Linked DNA regions of Macaca mulatta. The protein of the gene in region 2 interacts with the protein of the main gene of each other region in a pairwise test. Links are inferred from orthologs where the notes say so. Each region holds a gene or a part of one and is shown on either strand. Other genes may lie near its edges. The genes, in order: MICALL1 and EHD3.

The links.
Region 1: the proteins of EHD3 (region 2) and MICALL1 interact in binary tests that used the Homo sapiens proteins (3 or more experiments, as listed by UniProt). The link is inferred for Macaca mulatta from reciprocal best matches to the Homo sapiens genes EHD3 and MICALL1.

What each region holds. Positions count from the first base shown.
Region 1 is NC_133415.1:13,578,902-13,582,707, forward strand, and holds part of MICALL1 (MICAL-like protein 1), read right to left. Parts: intron 3,519-3,806; exon of another isoform or gene 3,087-3,518; coding exon 2,632-3,086; intron 434-2,631; coding exon 376-433; intron 1-375. UniProt on the Homo sapiens protein: Lipid-binding protein with higher affinity for phosphatidic acid, a lipid enriched in recycling endosome membranes. On endosome membranes, acts as a downstream effector of Rab proteins recruiting cytosolic proteins to regulate membrane tubulation.
Region 2 is NC_133418.1:93,692,231-93,696,476, reverse strand, and holds the start of EHD3 (EH domain-containing protein 3), read left to right. Parts: upstream 1-1,444; 5' UTR 1,445-2,042; coding exon 2,043-2,269; intron 2,270-4,246. UniProt on the Homo sapiens protein: ATP- and membrane-binding protein that controls membrane reorganization/tubulation upon ATP hydrolysis. In vitro causes tubulation of endocytic membranes. Binding to phosphatidic acid induces its membrane tubulation activity.

The DNA.
Region 1 (3,806 bases), on a different chromosome or scaffold from region 2:
CTGAGGGACAGGTACTACAGCTGAGCTTTTCCAGGTCTTTCTATACTCTGCTGCTAAGCCTCAAATCAACTCTATAATCAAGGCTAGGCCTCCCACGTTACAGGCAAAGGAGCCTGGAGAGATGACGGGAACCAGAGGTGGCTGCCTGCACCGGGTACTGCCCACAGGACCAGGCACCTGGGGAGGGGGCCGGGCAGTGGCTGCAAGAATCCCAGGGTGAGCCTCAGGAGAGGGGGTGTGGGCCCAGCTCTCCTTCCCCTCCTGAGCCCCACGCTGCTCATCCACAGGAAGCCTCTCTCCCACCCGGCCCCAGAGTACCCCAATTCCCACCACCAGGGCCTCTGAAGCAGGAACGCCCCTCAGGGATCAACATACCCCTCAGATGGCTTCGGTGTCCCCCTCGGCTTCGGGACAGGTGGTTCGTGCAGTCTTCCTACATGGGAAATGATAGTGAGCCAGGCCTTCATGGGCAGCAGGAGGTGGGCACCCAGGGAGCCAGCCACAGTAGCTGCCTCCCCAGGAGCACCCCGCCTTCCTCCTACACCCTCGCACCTCCCCAGCCCAGCCCTTGGAAATTAGATAAGCACCCAGGTGGCTGAGAACAGTCAGGGGTCAAGGCCAGGCCACCTGAGATCCCATTTGCATTTCATTTGAGAAGACGCAACCCAAATCCCCTCAGACACCCCCCCAGTGTGGGCGGAAAACATCATCTCAGTTCAGCCCGGGAGCCACCTCCTCCTGGAAGTCCCGGACTCCTGAGCGTCCTCCACGAATCCCACAACAGCCCCTGCTCCCCTCCTCCAACTTCACAAGACTTCCACAATCCACTGAAACCCGTGCCTCTGTGCCTGTCTCCACCTCAACGCTGGGAGCGCCCTGAAGGCACAGATAGGCCTGAACAGTATTCTGTGTCCCCAGCGGCCAGCTCAGATCCAGCCTCCATGAGAGCTGAACAAACAGAATGTTCTGGTGCAAGTCGCAGGGTGACCCTGGGAGTCTCTCACCCCGTGGCCACCAATGCCTTCCCTAATGGAATGATAAGGGCTGCCCAGCAGCCTTATACAAGGAGTCTCAATCCTACAAGCTCACTGAAATCCGGGGAGGTCATCTGGGAGCATTTCACAATGTGGGGCTGGGGGAGAATGCACCCACAGAATGAGCCAGGGGTCTCCACTGCAGCTCACACTGGCTCCGGGGCCCACCTGACCCCTCTGCTCTCCCCCAAGCCCCTGAGGTCTCCCCTTCCAGACATGGGCAAGCATAGAGGCTGGGCTTGGAGGTCACCTGCGGTGTGCCTGTGGATGGGCCAGGACACACAGGAAGGATACCAGTGTGCAGAGTCCCAGAGACCTCGGGGACACACAGGCACACTTGGAGTGGCACTTACTACCCACCCTGAAACTAAAGCCCACAAAAACAGATGCAAAAGAGCGCATGCAGAGGAAGGCAGCATAGGGGTGGGGCCTGGGTCTGTTTCCTTTGCACCGTCCCAGCATGGAGAATAGAGCACAGCAGAGGCCGCAGGAACTCAGCATTTGTGGCAGGAATTAATAACCTCAGAAACAGGCCAGGCACGGTGGCTCACATCTATAATCCCAGCACTTTGGGAGACCAAGGCAGGTGGATCACCTGAAGTCAGGAATTTGAGACCAGCCTGGCCAACATGATGAAAACCCGTTTCTACCCAAAAATACAAAAATTAGCCAGGCATGGTGGTGTGGCCCTATAGTCCCATCTACTTGGGAGGCTGAGGCAGGAGAATCGCTTGAACCTGGAAGGCAGAGGTTGCAGTGAGCCAAGATTGTGCCACTGCACTCCAGCCTGGATGACAGAGTGAGAGTCCATCTCAAAAAAAAGTAAAAAGTAAGAGCCGGGTGCAGTGGCTCATGCCTGTAATCCCAGCACTTTGAGAGGCTGAGGTGGGCAGATCACCTGAGGTCGGGCATTCGAGACCAGCCTGGCCAACATGGTGAAACCTCATCTTTACTAAAAATACAAAAATTAGCTGGGCTGTGGTAGCCTGTAATCCCAGCTACTCAGGAGGCTGAGGCAGGAGAACTGATTGAACCCGGGAGGCGAAGGTTGCAGTGAGTCAAGATTGTGCCACTGCACTCCAGCCTTGGTGACAGAGTGGGATTCCGTCTCAAAAATAGTAATAGGTTGGACGCCGTGGCTCACGCCTATAATCCCGGCACTTTGAGGGGCCGAGGCAGGGAGATCACCTAAGGTAGGGAGTTCAAGACCAGCCTGACCAACATAGAGAAACCCTGTCTCTACTCCATCTCTACTAAAAAAAAAAAAAATACAAAATTAGCCGGGCATGGTGGCACATGCCTGTAATCCTAGCTACTCGGGAGGCTGAGGCAGGAGAATCACTTGAACCCAGGAGGCGGAAGTTGCAGTGAGCCGAGATCGCGCCACTGCACTCCAGCCTGGGGGACAAGAGCAAAACTCCCGTCTCAAAATAAATAAATAAATAAATAATAACAACCTCAAAAACACAGGCAGTCCCCAACACAGCACAGTACACAGCAGCACAGACAGAGAGGGGCCGACAAACAATCCCAGACACACAGACTTCAGTAGTGCACTGCCACCCAGTGCACCCTGCCCCGACTGCACCCTGCTCACCGTTCACGAGGCTGCTGCTGCCAGCCTGCTCCACCAGGTTCTCCTGCTGCAGACTGGAGCGGGGCCGGGGCGTGGGGGGTGGTGGGGCGATGCTCTCGGAGGCCTTCCTGGGGGCGGGGGTGGGGCGGCCTGCAGGGGTGCTAGCCAGCTCCTGTGGTTTGCCAGGAACCCGGGGTTTGGTAGGGATCTGGGGCCGGGCCTCAGGGCTGGCCTTGGGTCCGTCGGCCTCAGCCCCTGCAGGAGCACTGGAGCTGGGGCTGCCTCCTGGAACATCCTTGGCATCTTCTGCGAGTTGCTGCTGGTGCTGCTGCTTTGGCTGTGAGAAAGGCCCAGGCCTGGTCCCTGACCGTGTCCCCGGGCCCAGCCTCGCACAGTGTTCTGCACACACAAAGGTGCCCTCCTCGGGCCCATTCTCATAAGCCCCAGGGAGCAGGGTGCTGGAGCACCGCCGACACCTAGCACGGGACAGGACAGGGGTTCACTTAGCCAGGCAACCAGGCCCAGCCACTGGTTACCCCTCCAGCCGCACCCAGGGCTGTTTCCTCCCTTCCCTCCTCCCAACTGCCAGCCAAGCTCCAGGATTCATACTCTAGACTTCTCAGAGGATAAAGAAAACAGTAACTGTCAGAAGCATAGTGGAACAATAAAATCACAAAATCACACAAAATCAGCAACAGAAGTTGTGAAACATGCCTTCAGTTTATGCTGCAAGAGGAAGAAGCAAAGGTCCCCCCGAGAGGTGGCATTCAGTGAATGGCTGCATCCAGGAGTGGCTCAGGAAAATAAAGCGGTAGGTTTTACCCAATCAGGTGGTGTTTTGTGATTTCTTTTCTTTTTCTTTTTTTTTCTTTTTGAGATGGAGTCTCACTCTTGTTGCCCAGGCTGGAGTGCAATGGTGCGACCTCAGCTCACTGCAACCTCCGCCTACCGGGTTCAAGCGATTCTCCTGCCTCAGCCTTCCGAGTAGCTGGGATTACAGGCATCTGCCGCCATGCCTGGCTAATTTTTTTTGGTATTTTTAGTACAGACGGAGTTTCACCATGTTGGCCAGGCTGGTCTCAAACTCCTAACCTCAAGTGATCCACCTGCCTACGCCTCCCAAAGTGTTGGGATTACAGGCGTGAGCCACTGCTCCCGGCTATGTTTTGTTAATGAAATAGAATAATATACAATGT
Region 2 (4,246 bases):
GGCAGGAGAAAGAAGTGTGAGGAGCGAAGCGGGAAGAGCCCCTTATAAAACCATCAGCTCTCACGAGAACTCACTCAGTATCATGAGAACAGCATGAAGGAAACTGTTCCCATGATCCAATCTCCTCCCACCAGCTCTGTCCCTAGACACGTGGGGATTACGGGGATTACAATTAGAGATGAGATTTATGTGGGGACACAGAGCAAAACCATATCAATCTCCAACCTCTTGCTCCTCCAGTCCCTGCCCCCGACACTGCTCTTGGCATTCCAGTCCCTGCCTGGTCCATAACCTCCTCCTTCTTCATCTGTGAAAGGGAGGGTAGTGGGAGCCATCAGCCTGGGCAGGGAAGAGTGTTTTCTCACTATACTGTTTAGAATGGTGCCAATACAAAGCACATCAACTTTCAGCCAGTTTATTACTGGGTTTAAATTCTCTACACACAATGCACTGCTTTTGCCTACACCTGAACGGTGTTCCCACTCACTCTCCTTGGTGTGATGCCGGAGATAATATGATCTGCTATGAAGGTTAAATAAAGCAATGTTCACTGAGAACTCAGCCCAGGCCCCTGTACATGCTGAGCATTTTGTTAATGTAACAATGATTAGTAATAGCATTGTTATTGGTTCCTCATCTCTGGCAAAGCCTTCCATGCTTGGCCTCCCTCACTCTCTTCCACCTTCCTAAACCCTACACTCCAGCTATGCCAAACAGTTTACTCTGCCTTAGACACACCAAGTTCTCCCATGTTCCTCAAGCCTTTGCAAATGCTCCTTATGCTGCTAGAATAATGAATGTCAATTCATCATTTAGGATCCAGCTTACAGTCATGCTTTCCGTGAAGCATTCCTCAAATTAGCCACACAAAAGGAGTGAATCCTCCCTGTATTCCCATGGCCCTCTGCTCATGCCTCCTCTTTAAAGCCTGCCTTCACTGGAGTTCCTGGAAGGAAGAGTCTGTTCAGCACTCATCTCTGTATCCACAGTCACCAAAATTGTATCTGCCCCATAATAAATGCCCAATACTTGCAGGGATTTTGCTTGTTGGCTTGTTTTGTTTTGCTGGAATGAACGAATAAATAAAAGGGAACGATTATGACTTCACCCTAAGCCTAGCTAAAAGTTTGGGTAGTGACAGTTTTGGTCATTTTGTGGAACCTGATAGCGGATCCTTCTTTCTATGCCAAAAAAAAAAAAAAAAAATCCCAAATAGTAGAGTACCTGTTTTCCTAGGGAATTGACCTCAGCAACCGAAGGAGAGGCGATTCAATGCAGGGAGGGTGATGAACAGGTCAACTCTGTCCTCGCAGCCGTCCCTGAGAGGGCGCTGTTCCCAAATCGAAGCCCCAGAGGCGGAGACTGAGACATCGGCGCTCTCCCCCGGGACTGGGTCAGCATCCCTCTACCCGCGCGGCCGCAGGTCTGGAGCGGAGCGCCTGCCCACAAACATGGCGGCGCCCTGCGCGGCTTCCCGTCGCCGGGACCGTGGGGCCGGCCCTGCCTTGCCAGTACTCGGGGACTTCCTCCGCGCTCCGGCTTCCTGCCCAGCTGGCATTTAAACCAGCGCCTGGGGCTGCAGGATGCTGCTGCGGATGCGGAGCTGTCCGCGGGCTGGGCAGCGTCGCCGCCTCCCCTGAGCCGCCTCGGTCCGGCAGGAGCGGAGCCGAAGCATCCCTTGCTGCACGCAGGGCAGAGCAGGCAAGGGCTGGGGGCCGATCGGGGACCCCGGCATCTGGCAGTTTCCTTGCAGGTTCGACTTTAATTTCCAAGATTGCACCCCTCCTCCTCTAGCCCAGATCATTAATCCTCCCTCCGGCCTGGGCTGCTGGATGCAGCGGCGGCCGGACTTGGTCCCAGGAGCAGGGAGAGTGCGCTCCCGGCCCTCCTAGCCGCGTGCCCGGGCCATGGTGCGGCTGAGCTCCGCGCTTGGGTGAGGCGGCGGCGCGGCTCGGAGCCCGGTGGACCGGTCCTACGGGACATCTTTCCCTGAGGAGGAGTCTTCCCCTGGGGCTGCGTGCCGGGGACGAGCGGCGGCCGCGATGTTCAGCTGGCTGGGTACGGACGACCGCCGGAGGAAGGACCCCGAGGTTTTCCAGACGGTGAGTGAGGGGCTCAAGAAACTCTACAAGAGCAAGCTGCTGCCCTTGGAAGAGCATTACCGCTTCCACGAGTTCCACTCGCCCGCCCTGGAGGATGCCGACTTCGACAACAAGCCCATGGTTCTGCTGGTGGGCCAGTACTCCACTGGGAAGACCACCTTCATCAGGTGAGCCGGCCCAGGGTCCCGGCAGCCCACCCCGGAGCCCAGCACCTAGTCCCTCCGGTCACTCCTGGTGCTCCACTCCTGACAGGGGACCAATGGGAAGCCTTCAGTTGAGGGCTCTGAAGATATATGTGTGTGTGCAGGCGTCAAAATCTTACCCCATAATTTTTGCTGGTCCCCCTTCCCATGCTACCCAATACCTGTACACTCTACTTGGCCCTTGGCTCTAGTGGTCAACCTGAAGTATTCAAGTGTAAAGCCATTCCTGGTCTCCCCATCTTATGGATGATGAAATCGAGCCCCAGGAGGCACAATGGAAGAGCTCCTGGTCTCTGGAGCGCCTCATGCTGGTGGGGATGTCTTGCATCTTCACTTTTTAGAAACACATCATTTCGGGCAAAACCTCTTCCCTTGCTTTTCAAGGGGCTTGGCACTCACTTGGGGGCCTCACAGTTGCAGCTGAGTTCTGATGGGTGCAGGCCTGGGGACGGAGGTGGCCTGGGGATGCTACTTGTCCTTCTTTTATCATTTCCTTCTCTAAAGCAGAGCTCCTGTGTATATATGTATCTTGGAGACTCGACGGAGTCCAGAAGCAGAATGTTTTTTTTTTTTCTTTTCTCTTATTTGATCTTAATGGCTCGATAATAATATTAAAGACTCTTAGAGGTGGAAGGGATATTGGCATTGTCTCATCCAGTTCCTGACTTTGCAGGTGAGATAACTGAGGCACAGAGAAGTTAAATGAATTGTGCAGAGCCATCTAAAGAGTGGGCAGCAGACCTGGGATCTAAGTCCTAGATGCATGTGAGGAGATGGTTGGCTAAACGCCTGTAACTCTGAGAGTGAGTCATCCATTCCCTTCAGTTACAGAATCCATGGGCTGGAGAGAAGCTCAAGAAGTCAATTTGTTCACCCTGCATTCAGAGAGGTCCACCAGAGGCCCTTCCTATCTTTAGATAACAGGCTTCTCTCCAGTCGTCAATCCTCCCAACTTCAAGGCCGGCCATTTTTCTTGGCCTCTTTTACAGCCATTCCAAACTGTTGAGAATGCTGTGGCCCTCTGTCTTAAGAGTCAGGCTCCCACAGACTGAGAATGGAGTTTGGTGGACCCCCAAAGTCAAGCGTGCTCATCTCCTGCAGAGGGTTTGGAAAGCAGGGGTACCCGTGTTCCTATTCCTTGGCTGTCTGAGCATCCACAGCATGTGAAATGCTGTGCTTTGTTTGGTGAGGAGAGCAGAAAAGTTAACAGTCTAGTTACTAATTTTCTAGGTACTAATTTTCTCTAACATCGACCTTGTAACACAAGCCTTCTGGAAGTAGCACCATGCTAATAGGTGATGTCTAAACACAACACCACATTGAGTTTGTCCTTGTGGAGTACACAGCCTAGGGCTCAGCAGCTTTAAGAGGCCAAGTGATTTCTGAAGGAGTTTGGGAGATGGGCCTGTTGGCTCTTGTATGTTTTGTATTGATAGAACTGCAAGAGGCCTTTGAGATTAATCTAATCCATTGCTTCTTAACTTTCTATCTTTAGAAAAATGTACATGCATCCCAAATTTGCATATAATGTTGGGAGTGCAAGGGCCATCTTTGGACTTCAGGGTGGGAATCCCTGATCTAAGCCATGCCCCTTGTTTTATTAAGCACCCATTGCTGCCAAAGGCACTTCAGAGCTGCCTGGGTTGTGTGCAGGGTTTCCTTTGTGAGCCCTGGCCTCCACTTGGCCCATTCATGCCTCAAGGGAAATACAGGCCATTTGCAGATGGCCCTTGCCCTCTCAGCCTTCCCTGGCTCTCTGCACATATGGTATTTATAACCTTTCCTACATTATTTGTAGCTTCTCCTTCCTGGAGTACGATCACTGACAAGACAACATCCATGCCTTAGCATCTCCGGGGCCTCTTCCAGGGTCTCAGCTATAGGAGGTTCCCAGCAGACATTTTGCAGAATGGAAGGGAAGATGGGGAGAGGCGAGGATCC